3 linked regions of the Stegostoma tigrinum genome follow. The protein of the gene in region 3 purifies or fractionates together with the protein of the main gene of each other region. This does not show direct contact. Links are inferred from orthologs where the notes say so. Each region holds a gene or a part of one and is shown on either strand. Other genes may lie near its edges.

Region 1 (7,821 bases), on a different chromosome or scaffold from region 3:
GCTGAAGATCAGCAACCAACATGTACCAAGAAAATATCTGAAAGGTTCAAGTTGTTTTATGTTTGCCTATAAAAGTTTGATGTTTTTCTGGAAGAATGACAATAGCATTGGCTACACTAAAACAGAAAAAAAGTCATCTGTATAAGACCATTGGAGCAGAAATTAGGCCATTCGGCCCATCGAGGCTACTCCACCATTCAATCATGGCTGATAAGTTCCTCAACCCCATTCTCATGCTTTCTCCCTGTAACCCTTGATCCCCTTGGTAAACAAGAATCTATCTATTGTCTTAAAGGTACACAATGACCTGGCCTCCACAGCCTTCTGCGGCAGTGAATTCTATAGATTCACCACTCTCTGGCTGAAAAAATTTCTCTTTATCTCCGTTCTAAAGGTCTTCACTTTACTGTAAGGCTGTGCCCTCGAGTCCTAGTCTTTCCTACCAATGGAAGCATCTTTGCAATGTCCACTCTGTCCAGGCCATTCAGTATTCTGTAAATTTCAATTAGATCCCCCCCCCCACCCCCCACCAATCCTTCTAAAGTCCAATGAGTATAGTCCCAGAGTCCTCAAACATTCCTCATATGTTAAGTTTTTCATTCCTGGGACCATTCTTGTGAACGTCCTCTGAACCTACTCCAGGACCAGTACATCCTTCCTAAGATATGGAGCCCAAAACTGCACACAGTACTTTAAATGTGGCCTGACCAGAGCATTATAAAGCCTCAGTAGTACATCTCTGCTTTTATTTTAAAGTCCTCACAAAATAAATGCCAGCATTGCATTTGCCTTCCTGACTACTGACTCAACCTGCAAGTTTACCTTCAGAGTATCCTGGACTAGAGCTCTGAAGCCTCTTTGCACTTCAGACTTCTGAAATTTCTCCCCATTTAGAAAATAGTCCATGCTTTTATTCTTCTTGCAAAACTGCGTAACCTCCCAGTTTCCCACGTTTGTACTCCACCTGCCACTTCTTTGCCCACTCTCCTATCCTGTCAAATCCTTCTGCAACCTCCCCACATACTCAATATACCTGTCCCTCCACCTATCTTTGTATCATCTGCAAACTTAGCCAGAATGCCCACAGTTCCTTCATCTAGGTCATTATGAATAAAGTGAAAAGTTGTGATCCTCTGACCCTTGTAGAACACCACTTGTCACTGGCTGCCATCCTGAAAAAGACCCTTTTATTCCCACTCTCTGCTTTCTGCCAGACAGCCAATCTTCTATCCATGCTAGCGCTTTGCCTCGAACACCACAGGCCCTTATCTTACTCAGCGGCCTCCTGTGCAGCACCTTGTCAAACACCGCCCTGAAGTCCAGGTAATTAACATCAATTGGCTCTCCTTGGTCTACCCTACATGTTACTTCCTCAAAGAATTTTAGCAGACTTGTCAGGCATGGCCTCCCCTTGATGAAACCATGCTGACTTTGCCCTATTTTACCATACACTTGCAAATATTCAGAAATCTCATCCTTTATAATGAACTCCAATCTTACCCAAAACCGAGGTTAGGCTAATCATCCTGTAATTTTCTGTCTTTTGCCTTATTCTCTTTTTAAACAGGGGTGTCACATTAATGATTTTCTAGTCCTTTGGGACCCTCCCTGACTCAAATGATTCTTGAAAGATCACCACTAATGCTTCCACTATCTCTTCAGCCATCTCCTTTCGAACTCTGGGGTGTAGTCCATCTGGTGCAGGGAATTTATCCACCTTCAGGCCAACCAGTGTTAATAGCACTATTTCCTTCATGATGGCCACCATTCTCAGCTCTGCCCCCTAATTCTCTTGAATTTTTGGGAGATTACTCATATCTCCTACCATGAAGACTGACGCAAAGTAATTATTATTCAGTTCCTCAGCCATTTCCTTGTTCCCCACTACAATCCATCGTCCATCATTTTGCAGTGGTCCAATGTCCACTTTTGTCTCTCATTTGCCTTTTATATATTTATAGAAACTCTTACAGTCTTCATTTACGTTACAGGCTAGCTTACCCCTTTTTTTGTTGCCTTCTGTTGGTCTTTGTAAGTTTCCCAGTCCTCTGATTTCCCACTGCCATTCACCACATTGTATGCTTTCTGTTTTGCTTTTATGCTATCCCTGACTTCCTCAGTCAGCCATGGTTGCCTCAGCATCCCTGTACCATGCTTTTTCCTGGGGATGAATTTTTGCTGCATCTCCTGAATTACTCCCAGAAACTCCTGCCATTGTTGTTCCACTGTCTATGTATGAGGCTTCATAAAATATTCTTTTAAAATTTTGCATGTTTAAAGTTACAATATGATAACACTCTAAATTCAGAGGATAAGATACTCTGATGGTTTGGTTGATGTTGTAAATCTGTATAGTTTTGGGCAGAATGGACTTGTACATAGCACCTTTTAACAGGAAAGCAACATACATGAAGAGCAGTATTTAAAGATCATGTGAATGTTTTTAATTACTATTTTTAAATTGTTTGGTTCAATAAATTTTAGAAATTTTTTTAGAATCATTTTAGAATAAATTTTTTTAAAAATTAATTGACCTCTGCTTAGACAGAATTTCACATTGCCTTTAGGGATCTGAATCTCTTGGGAGCCTGTGTCCTACAACCTGAGCTGCCTGTTCAGTTTGTGAGTGAGACTTTTCACCATGTAAAGAGGTATTTTTGTACAGGCTGCTGTTGTACACCTTCCACTTTGCCTCCTTCATCTGCCACTTGGACATGCGTTGGCATGGTGTTTTGCTGCTGAGCAGTGGGGATTCCACATGGAAGGCCGTCTGAGTGGGAGTCCTCCCATTTTCGATCAGGGACCTGGGGTGAAGGATGTTGCACACAGCAGTTACTTGAGGTTGGTTGGTTCGCAAAGCTGCTTTGTTGTTCCGCAACCATTTCATTACCATGCTGGATAACATCCTCAGTGCAGCCTCGACACCCACAACCCAAGCTACACAACAGTTACTTATAACCACAGATTATAGCAGTTCACAAACTCCAAGCCCATCTCTTTATTTGTGGCACCATGGACCATGTGTGAATAGAATAGATTCCCTACAGTGTGGAAACAGGCCATTCAGCCCAATAGGTCCATGCTGACCCTCTGCAGAGCATCCCATCCAAACTCTGACTGATTCCTACACCCTATTCTTTAAGCCTATGTTTCCAATGGCTAATGGCCCAATCTACACACTTGTCTGAACAGTATCCCCCTACCCCGCATTTCCATAGCTAACTCACCACGACTAAACATTCCTGAACCCTATAACAATTCAGCATGGCCAATCCACCTAATTTGCACATCTTTGGGCTGTGGGAGGAAATCCGAGCAACCAGCAGAAACCCACACAGAGAACATGTGAATTCCACAGAGAACGTTGCCCGAGGGTGGAATTGAACCTGGGTCCTTAGCACTGTGAGGCAGCAGTGCTATCCACTGAGCCAGCGTGCCGCCTTTAAAGCAACAGCACTGAGGATCGTAGTCAGCAGGGTTATATATATATATTGGTTGTGAACACTTGCGCATCCTTTTTGATTATTTGAAAAATTGCCAGTTCTGTTTTTTGGTTGCACCTCAACACTCTCGATCTTTGGGCATTCAGAGCAGGGGCCTGTGGGTAGTTTGGAGGCTGTCCTCCTGGGTATATGCCTAGGCTTGGCCAGGCTGGCTATCAGCAGGTTATTCCAGGACGTCATCTCTGCCAACTGTTTTTCCCCTTTCTGCAGTTACATTCATACCTAGGTGTCATCGGAGAGGGAGGACACAATGTCCACCAATGCTCACTAGCCCTTTAGAAGATACGCTGTGGAAGATACTGTGCTTTATCTCCCGTCCAACTCCATTATGCCATAACCCTTCCTGTTCTTCCTGAATGTCCCTCACTTTTGATTGCTTCCAAAATGTTTCCCCAATTAGAAAATAGTCTAAACATGTATTTTTGCTGGAACGTGAATAGTTGTGATCCTGATACAGACGCTTGCAATTTCACTAGTTACCTGCTTACAGTACTGGAAAAGTCCCCTTTATCCCTACTGTCTGCTTTCTGACAGACAGCCAACCTCTGTCAATGTCAGTACCTCACCCCTAACACCATGCTGCTCCTCCTGACAGGCTTCTAAACAGCACCTTGTCAAGGGCCTTCTGGAAATTGAAACAGATTACAAGCATTGGCTCTCATTTGTTTAACTCATTTGTTATCTCCTCAGCAAATTCTAACAGATTTGTTGTGCATGACTTCCCTTTCACAAAGCCGTTGATGACTCAGTTCTATTTTAGCATGCACTTCCAAGTACACTGCAATCTCATCCTTAACAATGGACTCTGAAATCTTACCAACAACTGAGGTCAGGTTAACTGACGTATAATTTCTCTTCTTAAACAGGGTTACTACATGAGCTATTTTCCTGTCCTCTTGGATCCTCCCTGACTTCAGTGATTCCTGAAAGATTTTGTTGAGAAAACAGATTTGAAAATTATGAGAGATAATGGGAACTGCAGATGCTGGAGAATCCAAGATAATAAAATGTGAGGCTGGATGAACACAGCAGGCCCAGCAGCATCTCAGGAGCACAAAAGCTGACGTTTCAGGCCTAGACCCTTCATCAGAAAATTATGAATAGTGTTTCCGTGGTCTTCTGGCAAACATCCAGAATGCACAACATCCTGTTTGATGTCAAACTGTCACTTAATTCAAAGTGGAATTATGCAAGTGGAAGTCTGCTTACGCGACCACAACTGACACTGCTCACTGGCCCAGCGATTGGAATCATTACGGTAAAAGACAACCACGGCACACAGGGGCCCGACTATGTGGATCATTACGGTGCCGCGCAGGCTCTGAGTCGGAGCTGCCACGTCATCCGGAGCAACGTCAGACGAATCCAAGATGGCGGCGTCCGTGCGAGAGAAGCAGATCGGTGAGTAGCCGCTTGACAACAGCTGTTGTTGTGATTACACAGGCGAAAGATTGGAAACTCCGGCATTCCTGATAGGTCGCTGTTATGTGTGCAAAAATAAAAGACCGGCAGGTTGGCCGGGTGCCGTGTCAAGCCGAAGAAACCTCGGTTGTAACAAACTGGGATTGATGATCTGGCTATGAACCCAGCGGTCGATGGGGATCTTCTGGTGTTATCAGTATCAGGCGTTTGTCACTCTTATTTTGCTCTGCCTTTTCTCAAGGCACTCATTATTTATGTAGAGGAATGGTCTTGCTCTGAAACAATGGCATCTGTGTGTCCACAGCGAAAACAATATTGTTCTGGCCCACACAGTTTCTGCGTTTAAAAAGAGATTCAGCGATGCATGTCGCAATGGTATCTGGTAATTATCAGTTAATTGTTCACAAATAATTAAAATGTTTGATAATATCCATATTTTTAACTGATTAAAATTGGGGCCAGTTTTCTTTTTTCATATCCATGTTAGGATCTAGGTAGGATAAACGTCCCTCTAGTTTCTCGGTTCCCATTATGACCAATGCTTTCTCTATATTAGACTTAGAATACAGAAGAGGTATTTACTAGGCATTTTGAGTACAAAATTGATTTGTTATGGAAAAAGAAAACTTAATCTATGAAGTGTATAATTGCTGAACGCGGTTTGAGAACTAAACATTTATTCCTCTAAATAGCCTGGTTAAAACACACATCAGGCAAAGGAAAACGAAGAAACAGGATTTCTCTGCAGATTCATTTTTAAATGAAAAAAAAATCACTTCTGCCAATAAGTCTTACCATTTTTCCTTCAAGAACTAAGGTATTCATATGGCTGTTGGTCTGACACTCTGGTGCACCAAAGACAGCTATCACTGAACATATGCAGTTGCCACAGGGGAACTTAGCAGATCTATTCAGGGAAAATCAAAATTTTCTCACGCAAGATCAGCTGGATGTGGGCTCCAAAAAGCACAATTTCAAAATAGTGGAACCCACTTATGACTGAGTTGAGGAGAATTTTTATTCAGAAGGTTGTAACTTTTGGAATTCTCTGCCCTAAAAGGGTGTGGAATTTCGGTCACTATAAATGTTCAAGGTAGAGATCAACAGATTTCTAAATAATCGTTAATGTAAAGGGATGTGGAGATAGTGTGGGGAAAAGGCATTGACATGAATAATCGTCCTTGATTATATTGAATGGCAGAGGAGGCTCAACATGCTGAGTGGTCTAATCCTATTTCCATGCCATACCATACTTGACTGACAGGAAGGGCTCTTCAGCTGAATTGGAAGACTTCTTTCCTTCAGCTTTTTTTCCCAATTGAAATTCAAACAAACAATCTCCAGGAAGAACTAGCAGCCAATCAGTAGTACAAACAGTACTTCTTTTTCCCCAAAGAGGTTTCAGATAAACCAGATTGGCAATTAGCTGGCACTGTGCAGTTTCCAAGAGTGACTAATTTAAAAAGAGTTCCAAAAAAGTCTCATTCACCTTTTAAAAATAAAACAGTTCAGGTATCTCCACAATCCTTTCAACTCAAGTCAGCAAATTACTAATTATGAAGTCTTCATAACAGCATTTATATAAGCATACCCACACCACACAATTGAGACCATCTGTTATACCAAATGATTATCTAAGAACAAGTAGTTCCTCATTGTAATGACTTGCGTGAATCAAAAAACTGTCACTTGAGTACTTCAGTATTGTAGTCCAAATACACCTTTCATTAAAATGGTCCAAAAAGGCAGATTATCATTCTATTCTAACTGTTTCAGCTCTCTACATGATGGCACAGATTATTGCTAATCTAGCCATCAAAGTTTACTTTTAGAAGATAACCTGATGCAGAATATAATGCTTTTGTTTTGTGGACAACAGTTCATGAGATTCAGTTGGTGATTGAAATTAAATACAGAAACCTAAGAAAGAGGGGCAAAAGTAGACCATTCTTCCCTTTGAGCCACCTTTGCCATTCGTGTGATCATCCAACTGAGAGGTCTGTTCCTGTTTCTCCCTAATATCCTTGATCCCATTAGACACAAGTGCTCTCCAACTAATTCTTGAAATCATATAAAAATTTGGGCTTGACGGCTTTCTGTGGTAGTGAATTCCATAAGCTTAGCACTCCCTGGGTGAAGACATTTCTCTTCATCTCAGTTCGAACTGGTTTTATCCACATCCTTAGACTGTGACACTATTTGGTTGGTGTCCTGGATTAGATTTTAATGTTTCTGTATTTGAGCAAGTTCTGTGGTCTGAGCAAAGCACATCATAGTACGTTATCAAGGAGAGGGACACACTTGTAACATACTCTCGTTGTTTACAATTTAATATGTCTAAGCAAAAACTGGCTCCATTTGAAAAGTGCCAGTAACCTGTTTGTAACCACATGATAGTTATTTATTGTTTTATGCTAAAAGCTGGATAAAAGTAAGTTAGTATACATAGAATAAATAACATTGAAAAATAGTTTTGAAATTGAAGCTTGCTGTGAATATTTGCATTTTTTGAGGTTCCTGGTATGTACTAATTAACTTTGTTAAGATATATCTTTCATGTATAAATTACAATTGCTGAGAGACAATTCCGTTAAAGTTATTTAGAAAGTCAGTGTCCTGTCTACAGCCAAAAAGTATCCCTTTCATTATACTAATTAAGTTTCCATTTCCAGTTCAACATTAAATTCTGAGTTTACTATTTATAAAAATGCTTGTATTACTTTGTTTTTTTAGGATATCTTTTAGTTTTTTTTTGCTTCAATAAGTTCAAAATAAATTTAAAATTTTCACAATTCCATTAGAGACTAATAACTTTTAAAAAGTTAATACAACATTGGTTAACAAATACAACTGAAACATGTCTGAAACATTTTGACGGAATGTCATGCTTCTGGTT
Region 2 (6,974 bases), on a different chromosome or scaffold from region 3:
TGTAGTGATTCTCTACAGTTTCTCTGGTAAGAGGATCCCTTTTCAGATGAATTATTAATTACAAGCCCCAAACCCATCTGACAATACTAAATAAACATCATTGTTTGCAAACAGTATTTTAATAATGCTTTCAAGAAAACAGGCCTTTACTTGCAGATATTATTGGGACATGTATTTCTCACAGCTGAGGATATTTATCTTTAGTGTAACATTTGACAATGGGACCAATAGCTTATAATACTTCATACAAACACTTTTTTATTTTCTTAGGGAAAAGTGGGTAGAAAATGGAATGTGGTCCCATTCAAAAAGTAAAAATTCCATGTAGCTTTTGTATAAAGTTATGGCTCTGAGATATTAATATTCATGTTTCTGTAATGGAGCCTCTGTAAGCTTGCAGCAATGGTGTGGAAGGTGATTGAGTATTCGATAGCATCCTCCCTGGAGCATCTTTGTCAGAAAAGAGGCCACACACAAACAGGGAGAGACAGACAAGGGTTTACTGCAACTGGATATGAACTACAGGTTTAGATCCACACAAATACTCTGTTTTCCTAGTTTAACTGTAAAATCCCCCTATGTTTGAAAAGTAAAGAATCCCTGCTTCATGATCTTTGAGCCATCCACATGCTTAAATCTTGCATTACATTTCTATCAGTCAATAAGATTTCACAGAACAAGCCTCAGGCTGATGAGTTTGAAAAGGGCCTGGTCAAGATGGAAATGATGGTGAAGGATTGAAAATTGCAATGTTTATGTGGAAAGCCAAAGCTGTTCCGGTATCTTAAACCCAGTCAGATGCTCCTCATGTGAGTTCCCAGGGATGCTGTGGAAGAAGGAAGGAGCACTCCTGCTCAAATATTCTACTTGACAATGAGTGGGAAAATTGACAGATTTGGAGGAAGACTAGAAACACCTGATAATTCTGTGAATGAAGACTGGACTGAGGGCACACAGCTAATTACAGCAATGCAGAAGTCTTAATACGAGCAAGGAGGCGGTGTTTATTATTAAATCAAATATGTGGAAAATCTACTGGGAAGATGACCATGTGTTTAAAGAAGTCCACAATGGATCTTTGAGGTACTGAGGATAATATTTGGGACAGCTATAGACTGAAATAGCTACAGCTGAGGTCTTACGAATACAAGCAAGCTGAATCAGAAGACTTGGTTCCTGTATCCCTGGAGCTGAGAAGATTGTTCAGCCACATCATCCTCCTGAATGTCTCCTTCAAATCAATCAGGGACAGACAGCTATAGTACTGCCTAGGCATTGTAGCCAGATTGATATCCCAGTGGAAGTAGAGACATCGAGAATAGCCGTGGTTTTGGGTTGAATGTGTTCAGAGATATCTGGCTGATCTTGGAAAGGTGCTATAAGCAGTAGATTGAGGTTGACAGATGTGGCTCAGAAGTCCTTAAGCGTGCTTCATGCACTCAAGGTACATCAAGCTTTAACAAATCCTAGAACTGTTTGTGCAGCAGGGAATCATTCTTCTATCCATCCGTGCAGTGACTGTTCTTGAACTTTCATGCCAGTATCTCCAACTTGTCAACTTCGGGCCTTGCTAGAGCATAAAGAGTCATATGGAGTAGAACTCTCACTTGATATAACCCTGGAAGACTTACTGTGGGAGAAATGGGTAGTCTACCCATGCACATTGCCAACTTCAGCGACCAGAAACACAATGACCTTAAACCTGCAACTGTCAAAGACAGTGAACTAATTGGAACAGATGTCTCTCAGCTCATTGCAAAGACGGACATTGGCGAGTTGGAGGAGAACCAGAGGAGACAGGTTGTTTCTACTCTCACTGTGTATGGGACAGCATTCATTAAAAGTGATGGTGACATTGAGTACTGTAACTAAAGATGACAGTCTGGTAAAGATTCCTTACCACCGGAACCCATCCCGTCACCGAAAGTCCGAGACTTCCAGCAGAAGCCTTTAGAGAAAGATCTTGGTCAAAGCTTAGCAAGTCCATACATCTCTCCCATAGTCCACTTAAGAAAGAAAGCTGGAAAACTTGCAGAGCTAAATTCTGGATCTCCATATCTGATTCATTCAGTCACACCCTTCTTCCTTGGCTATGGACCAAATTTGACAGAATTAATCTAAGGGATGTGACTGCCTCCTGAAAGAGGTCCTGATTTGAGAAAACACATGTTTGTCATATCAGAAACTAGCTACAACATTTATGTTGTGACCTATGCAAGTAGTGGGCTAATGACAAAGAGAGAGAAATAGAGACAATGCATGATTCCAATTTTGATCATAACAACATAATTGTGTAAAGGGTTAACTATAAGGATTAAGGGGCAATATTGCAAAAGATCATGGTTCTGAAGGGGTTAATTCCCGTTCATGCTACATTCTTTCCAGCCATTCAACAACAGTCATATGCAGTAGACACATGGGCTTCTACTTTTGCTTTCAGAGGGAGAAGATGTACCAGCTCCCTAAGATCCTAATAATTATGTCTGAGCAAATGCAGTTGCCTCATTTCTGTCATGCAGTAAACCTTCTTGATATCCTAGAGCAGAGCTTCTTCTGTTGATACTCCACAGTGCTGTATCCTTGACCACTAATCACCAGATATGTCCAAGACAAACAAAGACAGAGAACACCTCCGCTCGGTTCGCAATAAACAACTGCACCTCCCAGTCGGGAACCATTTCAACTCCCTCTCCCATTCTTTAGATGACATGTCCATCATGGGCCTCCTGCAGTGCCACAATGATGCCACCCAAAGGTTGCAGGAACAGCAACTCACATTCTGCTTGGGAACCCTGCAGCCCAATGGTATCAATGTGGACTTCACCAGCTTCAAAATCTCCCCTTCCCCCACCACATCCCAAAACCAGCCCAGTTCGTCCCCTCCCCCCAACTGCATCACACAACCAGCCCAGCTCTTCCCCTCCCGCCACTGCATACCAAAACCAGCCCAGCCTGTCTCTGCCTCCCTAACCTGTTCTTCCTCTCACCGATCCCTTCCTCCCACCCCAAGCCGCACCTCCATTTCCTACCTACTAACCTCATCCCATCTCCTTGACCTGTCCATCTTCCGTGGACTGACCTATCCCCTCCCTACCTATACTCTCCTCTCCACCTATCTTCTTTTCTCTCCATCTTTGGTCCACCTCCCCCTCTCTCCCTATTTATTCCAGAACCCTCACCCCATCCCCTTCTCTGATGAAGGGGCTAGGCCTGAAACGTCAGCTTTTGTGCTCCTGAGATGCTGCTTGGCCTGCTGTGTTCATCCAGCCTCACATTTTGTTATCTTGGATTCTCCAGCATCTGCAGTTCCCATTATCTCAAGGACAGAGGAGAGTTGGCCAAAGCACTATCTCAAGGCATCCTTATCCAGTATTACACACTGATGGAGGTGGCAAATACCATAAGGTACCAGAAATGATCATGTGAAAATGTCATAGTAACGAAAGTCCAAATTTGATTCACTTGGTCCAAAGGACATTCTGATGCTAGTCTGACAATTGTGTAGAACTTTTAACAACAGTGCACCATTCCAAGACACAACTGGCTTTCTTTTAACACTTGCAAGTTCATTCATCACAGGGTTTTTATCCAAAACAAATAAGTTTAGAACAGTAGGAGGCAATCTTGGGTGTCGGCCAGATGGAGTAAAATCAGATTTATTTATTAAGCTGTATTTGTTCGGGTCTCCGACTCACATGACCCACACACAATCCAGCCAGCTCTTACTCTTAAAACACTTCCATGAAAACTCACAAGATATTTTGACTGGTCTTCCAAAGGTCTACGGAACTTCATCTGTAAGCTCCAAGTCTATTGCATATCGAGGAGATGTTAACCTCTACCTGCTAAGTACTAGGATGAGTGCACCCCATTTAAAAAAAACGGTTTTATATTCTCAAAGCATTTCAGTCATTGTAGCAGCAGGGAAACGTTGCCTTTCGGCTGCGGATCTGTTTTGGAAGAAGTGCGTTTCGCCCACGTGGCTCTGGGCCTCCGTAGCCACTGGGGAAAGATGGCGGTTGCTCCGGATGTTCTTGTCCGAATCTGCGCGCAAGAAATCATCAAATATGATCTGGAAATAAAAGCGCTGGTCCAGGTAAAGTTGCGAATGATTCACGCGTTGTCTTAGTACCGAAGAATAACACCTAATTTAGAATGGTCTGTACTGAAGTTGCACAGAAACAGAACTGTGTGCGTGTACCGACAGTGTATTTATCCGTGGGACCCAGAGTATGGATTCAACCTGTAAATTATATAGATCTGTGATTTTTTTTGCAGCTACCTCATTAAAGGTTTAGTAATTGTGAACAATAAGTATGTGCTTTTGGTTTTTTTTTCATGCGATATCGGTGTCGCAGTCAAAACCAGCGTTTGTTGCTCATCCTTATTCGCTGTTGAACTGGGTAGCTGATAGGGCCGGTACAGAGGGCGTTTAAGACGCCTTCGTATTGCTGAGCCCGGAGTCACGTACAGACCAGGCCGGGTATGGTGAACCAGATGAGCTTTTACAACAGTTGATAATTTCACTGCAACGCTGACGTCAGCTTTCAATTTTATCAATTGTATTAAATTCCACCAGTTGACCACTGCACCACACACCCTTGATTGTGCAGACATATGCACATTTCATCCACTTAAATTGAGGGTAATTTTGGATTCCAGCTTCTGAATCACTCTGGATAGAATAACTGGGTTTTGGTGATGATAATGAAATTATGTTAATCAGAGCCAGAGTAACATATACTTTGTCATGGCACCTTTATGTTCTGAATTTTTGTACAGATGATTTTAAACCATGATTTCTTCCCAGAACTTCCATGTTGTTCTGGTTTTATAGGCCCATGTCAACATTGTTTAAACATATGATTAAATGAAAATTTAACATAATGCAGTGTGTGATCAGCACGTATTAGGCTCTTGAGTAAACTGCTCAAGGTGAAAGTCCTGCTATGATTGGAGAAAAAAATAGATGCTACCCTTAATGGTGCTTCAGGCTATTCGAGCTGAAGGAATAATAAAGAATAACTTGCTGCATCCATAAGTAATGGAAATACCCTAAGTTATGTTTAATATTTCCAAGTGATTATTTGTATGTGTCAGTTCATACAGCAGCTGATCTTTACAAGAGGTGATTTTATGTTTCTAATGTGTTCACTTTTTAGATTTATTAGGAAGTTTTTCTGTAACAAGATGTGTAGGAATTTCTGAATGCAATGTGCATTTTCTCTGTTTCATCAAAAATGAACAGCATTTGCATTTTACTGGTGAAACTGAGAAGCTCACTCTTTGTTGGATAGAAGCAGGTTACTTAAACTATGCAATTTCATGAGAAAAATATGCAAGTTTGATTATAGATGCAGATAGAAATACAGATCTACATCTGTCATCCCTCTGACTGACTTGAGGGCTTTCTTGCTACTGATGGAAATCAACATTTAGAAGCGATGGATCAAAGATCTTGGAACTGATGCGAATGCATTGATCAAACCTAAGATGGCTGTTAAGTCTTTAATCAGTTAGGAAGGAGTCAATCTCCAAGTTGATACACAGTCAGATTCTAAACAAGGCTTCACACCTAAAAATTTCTGACCTGAGATGTCACCTCTGGTATACTGAGGGAGATACTGAGTTATCTAGGGGCAATGACTTGAAAGAAATTTGGAATTTACATATTAATCTGTCTATTGCCATTCGCTGTGGAGAAACAAAAGGTTTTGGTGTGCATGTATACAAATCAGTTAATGGAATGTGCACCTCAATGTCAAGGGGCCCTGGAGTACAAAAATGATAAACTGATGTTTCAATGTATGGAGTATTGGACGAATCCCAACTGAGGTACTGCAACCAGTAATGGGTTCCTGTATTATACCTCAGTAAGGATATGCTTACTCAGAAAAATGTGCTATGTTGTAAATTCTACTGAATTGTAGCAGAGCTTAAAGGGTTAAGTTGTAAAGATAGATTTCATAAACAAGACATGATCCCATGAGGTTTGAAGACTGGTGGGTTGTCATGTGTAAAATAGTGAAATAACTTGATAGATTAGAAACTAATTACTGTGTTGGGGAATTGTGAAACATAAAGGCAATGGTTTTTAAAATTAAAGTTAGACCATGCAAAGATGAAGTCAGGAATCATTTTCATTAAGAAGGTAGTATAAATGTGCAGTTCCTTACCCCAAATGGGTGCGACTGCTTTGCCAAATGAAAATCTCAAGACTTGGGTGTACTTTTTTTTCCCCGTTGGGTAAACAGAATCAGCAGTAGGTAAGGAGTTGACGTTGAGATATTAGCTGTAATCTAACTGAACATGCTGATGGTTACGAATATCCCATACATGTTCTCATGCTATTGTGTCCTAAATGATAAAAGCAATGGTGAAAAATGGCCGTAAAATGCAGCTTGAAACTCCCAGTGGTCTACTCATGACAGCATGCCAACTCTGTCCTGCCCATTTGCGTTACATAAGTTAATGTGCCACACTTAAATGGAAGTCGAAATAGTTTTAAAAAGGAGTAGTGAATCATCTTATATTTTTGAGTTGGCTTTAAACCAACTAATGTTTCTTGGCATTCAGATTTTACATCCAAATTGATTTGGCTAAAGTTATTTTTAGTATTAGCATAATTCAAGCTTTATTGCTAAATTGACTACAGGTAGTTGAAAGTTCTTCATTCCCTTGTTAAATTGTAACTTCACTCTTAAAGCTTTAGTAATGTTGAATGATAGAGCAGATTAATCATATTGCATTTGTTAATTTATAGGTTTCCGTTATCACATCTGAAGAGTTAACCATCGTTCTGAACAGATGCTGACCAAACTGCTTTGAATTTCGAGTATTTTATATCAGTTTTGATTTATTTTCCATATACTTTCAACATAATTACTTCTCTTTAGATTGTAGAACCATTATGACTTGATTTTGATCTATCAGTGGTAAAGAATCCCTCATACATTTGAGCAGTGTTAAAATTA
Region 3 (6,900 bases):
TAAAGGCCTGAATTGATGGATCACAGATCACAGACAGCTAGGCCCAAAAGGACACCAGCGCCCACTGACTATCCAGCACAATAATCACATCACCAGGACATGCCCAATGCATTTCACAGCCAGCTAATTATTTTTCAAGTCCAAATTGTTGCTGAGAAGGAGGAACGCGGGAATAATGTGAATAAAGTAAGATCCAACAAAACAACAATAAGAATGTTCCAGATCATCTACATGGAGAGACAGTTGTTGGCTAGGACACAGAGACAACTCCCCTGCTCTTCTCTAAAACTGTGCCATCGGATTTTTGACCCCCACCTGTTCAGGCACACAAGTTTCCAGGGTTTTACGTCTCTTCCAAAACTCACTTGCAGCAGTGGCACTGGCCTGAAATGATGTTCTGAAGGCCTAGGATGGAGCTTCAGCCACATGATTCAAAAGCAAGATCGCCATTAGTGAAGTGGCACTGACGTTTAGAATGCATTCACCTTGGTCGATATGCTCAAGAGGGAAGTACAGGTCATTCTCAACACCTCGGGGAGGGGAGGGGAGGGGCGGGGGGAGCAGCACTCCTCCCCCACATAGACATGAATGTCATGCCACTGTATCTCACAGGAATTGAGAGTGTTTGATAGAGTGTGTTTGCAATCATTTTCTATTAATAACAGAAGTTGCTTTCTTCCCTTCTTCAATTCGTCTCAGTTTCTACTTAATATCTGAATATCAAGACAAGATAGAAGTGAAACAGAATCTCAGTTGTTACTAGCTCGCCTACCTGATAATGGTATGACTCCCAAGCAAAAGCAAGTCAAGATTCCTGGCTCATAATATTAAAAGAAATTGATAGTTAGTCTCTCGGTTAGGGATTGGTCAGGATCATCCAACCCATGAAACTCAACACAATAAGAGCCACTCATTATTTGCAGGGACTGGGTCCGTGACAGATTTCCCCCCTGTTCTCTGAACACTCTTCGCAAAACTATCCAAGGCTGCCTGTGGTCCTTTATCTACAGTCAAACGTTATGTAAAACAAGTATTTGTGAACCGCACATGCAAAATTCTTGATATGACTGAATTCAAAGGAGCGTAATATTTCAATTGGTGCAGCCCAAAAACCTGGAAATCCATATTTTCCTGAGATACAGAGAGAGACACACTCACACATAAAGAGAGTGCCACACAGACACAGCACTTGGATTTTAAAACAACCACTATCCCATTTCAGTCCATCAAAAATACAGAAAAATTAAAAAGATCTTTATTGGATCAAGAGCTAATAGATAGGCTGGATCTCTGTCCTGGTCCATACCAACATAGAATGACGCATTTTGAGCCCTTATGCTGTAAACATTTCTAAGTTTGAAATTTTTTGTGAAGTAGGAGCATTTAGTTACTAAAATCTTCAAATGAATTTCACCAAAGATAACTTTGGAACTCCAAGCAATATCTTTTCTACCCTGGAAATCAGACCTAACACAAAGGCAGAAGGCTCCAGGTCACCTCTGTAGGATGTCCTCAGGGTAACATTTTCAGTAGCTTCAATGACTTTCCTTCTATTTTAAAAGGCCATAAGTTGGCATGTTTGCTGATGACTGCATATTGTTCAGTTTTCATTTCCACTCCTCAGGTATAGAAGGATCCTGTAGCAGCAGTAAGACCAGGGCAACATTCAGGCTTCGGCTGATTAGTGACAAGTCATATTTATGCTACACAAGTGGAATGTAGTGATCACCGCAATGGGTAAGAATCTGGCCATCTTCCCTGAACATTCAACAGCATAATCACCAAATACCCCATTGTCAGCATACCATGAATCATCATTGATGAAAGACTGGACAAGATGTAAATACCTTCAGAAATAGCAAGAACTGCAGATACTGGAGTCAGAGATAACAGTGTACAGCTGGAGAAGCACAGCAGGCCAGGCAGCAGAGGAGCACGGAAGCTGACATTTCAAGTCAGGACCTTGTTGAGCTCTTGTGGCGCAATGACTGTGTCCTCTAGCTCTGGCCCAAAATGTCTGGCTTCAAGTCCCACCTACCAGAGGGGTGTACCACAACATCTGATTAGACCAATTTTAAAAAAAACCATAAATACTTTGAATACAAGAGTTTCAAGTTTGCAATTGTATAGCAAATGATTCATCTATGTCCCCAGAGCCTTTCCACCATCTGCAAATTACAAGCATGATGGAATTCCCTGGTTGAACACAAAAGGTTTGGCATGATCTTTGATGAACACATCCAAAAACAGCACATAATGACTACAATGTATACCAATAAAATCCACTGCAGCAACTCACCAAGGCTCCAACAGCCACTTACAAACCTACAATCTCTATCAAGGTTGGAACAAGGGAAGCAGATGCACCACCTGAAAGTTTACTTCCAAGCCCCATATACCCCTGACTTGGAAATACCATCATTGTTGCTGAAAATTCTGACCAGAACATCATTAGAAGTGTCCCTACATCCAAAGAACGTCATCCAAGAAGGCAGCTCACCACGCTCTTAACAAGGACCATCAAACATGAGCCATCTTTGACCACACCCATCACTAGGAAAACCGAAGAGTGAACTGTCTGGCTGTGTACTCGTCAAGAATTAGGGAGGCAGGAACTTGGCCTCCATTGAGCCGCCTAGTGGCCCAGAGCCTGCAATTACACCGTGACAGTTGACATTGAAAAATTAAGTGACGTGAACATGAATATCAAGATGAAAAGTCAAGGGTTTAAGAGACAGAGTAGGGGCACTGGCTACAGCATTTATACCAACGCACCGAGATTACTGAAGGGCGTTACTGATCAAAAGCTAAATAATGCGTTCTGGGACAGCTCCATTACACCATGCCTTATGATATAGTACCATTATTAGCCTCAGTCTCTCGCCGTTATCTCCACCCGGTTACCTTTTCCAGCCGCCAGTCCTTTTCTTCCCTCTTTTCCCCCGCCATCGACTCGCATCTCACCAACAGCCGCAAGAAGTTCTTCTCCAACCTGGAGGTCGCCATCTTTACGACAACAACTTCCTTTGCATCACTTCCGCCGTATCCTTGGAGGCTGCCATAATTAATGCAGGCAGGTGATGAACAACGAGAGGCGGCAAGATGGTCCTCATCCTGAAAAATAACCTGCCTAAGTCTCGGCGCCACCTGGTGGCCGCAGCGCGCCTGGCATTTTAAAACCACCAACAAACATTTACTTTTGAATGTATTTGAAAATCATACTTTCATCACTTTCATCATCTTCACAAAAATGTTTGCTACAATCATTTTGTTAAAAACACTGCTGATAATTCTCACCTCCATATCATTTCTGCAAATAAACTGGTCATCTGTGTTACCAACTCTTCAAAATTACCCTGGAGTCTCCATGATTAGATTATTATTCTGTTATTTTCTCCGATTTACCTCTTGTTTCTAATCTGCATGCACGTTGGTTCTGTAGCTTTTTCTTCTCATATTCAGTGATTAATAAACTCATTCATTTGGTTAGTTCAACAGAGAGGTTTGAATTTAACCTTGCTGCAGCAACGGTAACAGTTAGTGAATAGTCATAAGATCAGAAGAAATAGGAACATGAATAGGCCATTTGGCCCCTTAAGCTTGCCGTACCATTCAATAGGATCTTGGCTGACCTGGCATTCCTGACATCCATTTTACGGCCTATACCCTGGAAACCTTGATTTCATGGGAGATCAAGAATTTATCTACCTCAGACCTAAATATACACAGGGACTTTGTCACCAAGGACTCTGTGGCAAGGAGCTCTAAAGACTCTTACCTCTCTGAGAGCAGAAATTCCTCTTCATCTCAATCTTAACTTGGTGCCCTAATATTCTAAGACTATGCCCTCTAGTCCCAGACTCTCTCATGAGGGGAAACATCCTCTCAGCATTTACACTGTAAAGCCCCTTCAGAACCCTTTCTGTTTCAGTGAGACCACCTCTTATTCTTCTGAAATCCAGTGAATAGCGATCTCACCTCTTTAGCTTTTGTGTATCGGAGAATTGCTCCAGAGCAGGGATCATCCTTGTGTATCTTCTCTGAACTGCCTCTAATGAAATAATATCTTTTCTTAAATAAGGGGACCAAAACTTGTTCATAGTACTCCATAGGAGCTCTCACCAGCACCTTGTACATTTGCAGTAAGACTTCTCCACTCTCATACTCCAACCACCTTGAAATAAAGGCCAACATTCCATTAGCTTTCCTGGGAACATCCACCCTCACCCAGATGCATAATGATTTGAGGTGTCCAGTTTGGAACCAAATGAATTGGGAACCCTGGACAGGGGTTCGATCATCAAAGCACAACACAGATTCATTTAGTCTTTGTGCTTGTCTTGTGCTTTTGAAATCAACAGAAAATGGAAGTTTCTCAGAAGACCTTTGATGAAGACTGGCCCTAATATTTCATCCTCACACACAACGTTCTGTCAAAATTCTAATTCTATCATATTGGTTTACAGTCCATCAGACATCATAAAAGCAGTTCACCTGAAAATTACAAGATAATAAAATGTGAGGCTGGATGAACACAGCAGGCCAAGCAGCATCTCAGGAGCACAAAAGCTGACGTTTCAGGCCTGGACCCTTCATCAGAGAGGGGGATGGGGAGAGGGAACTGGAATAAATAGGGAGAGAGGGGGAGGCGGACCGAAGATGGAGAGTAAAGAAGATAGGTGCAGAGACTATAGGTGGGGAGGTAGGGAGGGGATAGGTCAGTCCAGGGAAGACGGACAGGTCAAGGAGGTGGGATGAGGTTAGTAGGTAGATGGGGGTGCGGCTTGGGGTGGGAGGAAGGGATGGGTGAGAGGAAGAACCGGTTAGGGAGGCAGAGACAGGTTGGACTGGTTTTGGGATGCAGTGGGTGGGGGGGAAGAGCTGGGCTGGTTGTGTGGTGCAGTGGGGGGAGGGGACGAACTGGGCTGGTTTAGGGATGCAGTAGGGGAAGGGGAGATTTTGAAACTGGTGAAGTCCACATTGATACCATTAGGCTGCAGGGTTCCCAGGCGGAATATGAGTTGCTGTTCCTGCAACCTTCGGGTGGCATCATTGTGGCAGTGCAGGAGGCCCATGATGGACATGTCATCTAGAGAATGGGAGGGGGAGTGGAAATGGTTTGCGACTGGGAGGTGCAGTTGTTTGTTGCGAACTGAGCGGAGGTGTTCTGCAAAGCGGTCTCCAAGCCTCCACTTGGTTTCCCCAATGTAGAGGAAGCCGCACCGGGTACAGTGGATGCAGTATACCACATTGGCAGATGTGCAGGTGAACCTCTGCTTAATGTGGAATGTCATCTTGGGGCCTGGGATAGGGGTGAGGGAGGAGGTGTGGGGGCAAGTGTAGCATTTCCTGCGGTTGCAGGGGAAGGTGCCGGGTGTGGTGGGGTTGGAGGGCAGTGTGGAGCGAACAAGGGAGTCACGGAGAGAGTGGTCTCTCCGGAAAGCAGACAAGGGTGGGGATGGAAAAATGTCTTGGGTGGTGGGGTCGGATTGTAAATGGCGAAAGTGTCGGAGGATGATGCGTTGTATCCGGAGGTTGGTAGCGTGGTGTGTGAGAACGAGGGGGATCCTCTTAGGGCGGTTGTGACGGGGGGGGGGTTGTGAGGGATGTGTTGCGGGAAATATGGAAGACGCGGTCAAAGGCGTTCTCGATCACTGTGGGGGGAAAGTTGCAGTCCTTGAAGAACTTGGACATCTGGGATGTGCGGGAGTGGAATGTCTTATCGTGGGAGCAGATGCGGCGGAGGCGGAGGAATTGGGAATAGGGGATGGACTTTTTGCAGGAGGGTGGGTGGGAGGAGGTGTATTCTAGGTAGCTGTGGGAGTCGGTGGGCTTGAAATGGACATCAGTTACAAGCTGGTTGCCTGAGAGGAGCTCGAACAGTTCATCCACTTCACCAACACCTTCCACCCCAACCTTCAGTTCACCTGGGCCATCTCCAGCACATCCCTCACCTTCCTGGACCTCTCAGTCTCCATCTCAGGCAACCAGCTTGTAACTGATGTCCATTTCAAGCCCACCGACTCCCACAGCTACCTAGAATACACCTCCTCCCACCCAACATCCTGCAAAAATTCCATCTCCTATTCCCAATTCCTCCGCCTCTGCCGCATCTGCTCCCACGATAAGACATTCCACTCCCGCACATCCTAGATGTCCAAGTTCTTCAAGGACCGCAACTCTCCCCCCACAGTGATCGAGAACGCCCTTGACCGCGTCTCCCGTATTTCCCGCAACACATCCCTCACACCCCCCCCCCTCCCCCCCCCCCACGGCCGTCACAACCGCCCTAAGAGGATCCTCCTCGTTCTCACACACCACGCTACCAACCTCCGGATACAACGCATCATCCTCCGACACTTTCGCCATTTACAATCCGACCCCACCACCCAAGACATTTTTCCATCCCCACCCTTGTCTGCTTTCCGGAGAGACCACTCTCTCCGTGACTCCCTTGTTCGCTCCACACTGCCCTCCAACCCCACCACACCCGGCACCTTCCCCTGCAACCGCAGGAAATGCTACACTTGCCCCCACACCTCCTCCCTCACCCCTATCCCAGGCCCCAAGATGACATTCCACATTAAGCAGAGGTTCACCTGCACATCTGCCAATGTGGTATACTGCATCCACTGTACCCGGTGCGGCTTCCTCTACATTGGGGAAACCAAGTGGAGGCTTGGAGACCGCTTTGCAGAACACCTCCGCTCAGTTCGCAACAAACAACTGCACCTCCCAGTCTCAAACCATTTCCACTCCCCCTCCCATTCTCTAGATGACATGTCCATCATGGGCCTCCTGCACTGCCACAATGATGCCACCCGAAGGTTGCAGGAACAGCAACTCATATTCCGCTTGGGAACCCTGCAGCCTAATGGTATCAATGTGGACTTCACCAGT

What was found.
Region 1: the proteins of use1 (region 3) and scfd1 purify together in Homo sapiens (affinity purification with mass spectrometry; 3 studies listed by BioGRID and IntAct, counting the BioPlex papers as one, with this or other methods). This does not show direct contact. The link is inferred for Stegostoma tigrinum from reciprocal best matches to the Homo sapiens genes USE1 and SCFD1.
Region 2: the proteins of use1 (region 3) and bnip1b purify together in Homo sapiens (co-immunoprecipitation; 4 studies listed by BioGRID and IntAct, counting the BioPlex papers as one, with this or other methods). This does not show direct contact. The link is inferred for Stegostoma tigrinum from reciprocal best matches to the Homo sapiens genes USE1 and BNIP1.

Annotation. Positions count from the first base shown.
Region 1 is NC_081363.1:61,589,822-61,597,642, reverse strand, and holds the start of scfd1 (sec1 family domain-containing protein 1), read left to right. Parts: upstream 1-4,816; 5' UTR 4,817-4,873; coding exon 4,874-4,904; intron 4,905-7,821. UniProt on the Homo sapiens protein: Plays a role in SNARE-pin assembly and Golgi-to-ER retrograde transport via its interaction with COG4. Involved in vesicular transport between the endoplasmic reticulum and the Golgi.
Region 2 is NC_081366.1:55,035,818-55,042,791, forward strand, and holds the start of bnip1b (vesicle transport protein SEC20), read left to right. Parts: upstream 1-3,969; 5' UTR 3,970-4,012; coding exon 4,013-4,096; intron 4,097-6,974. UniProt on the Homo sapiens protein: As part of a SNARE complex may be involved in endoplasmic reticulum membranes fusion and be required for the maintenance of endoplasmic reticulum organization. Also plays a role in apoptosis.
Region 3 is NC_081383.1:7,078,412-7,085,311, forward strand, and holds the start of use1 (vesicle transport protein USE1), read right to left. Parts: upstream 3,020-6,900; 5' UTR 3,007-3,019; coding exon 2,905-3,006; intron 1-2,904.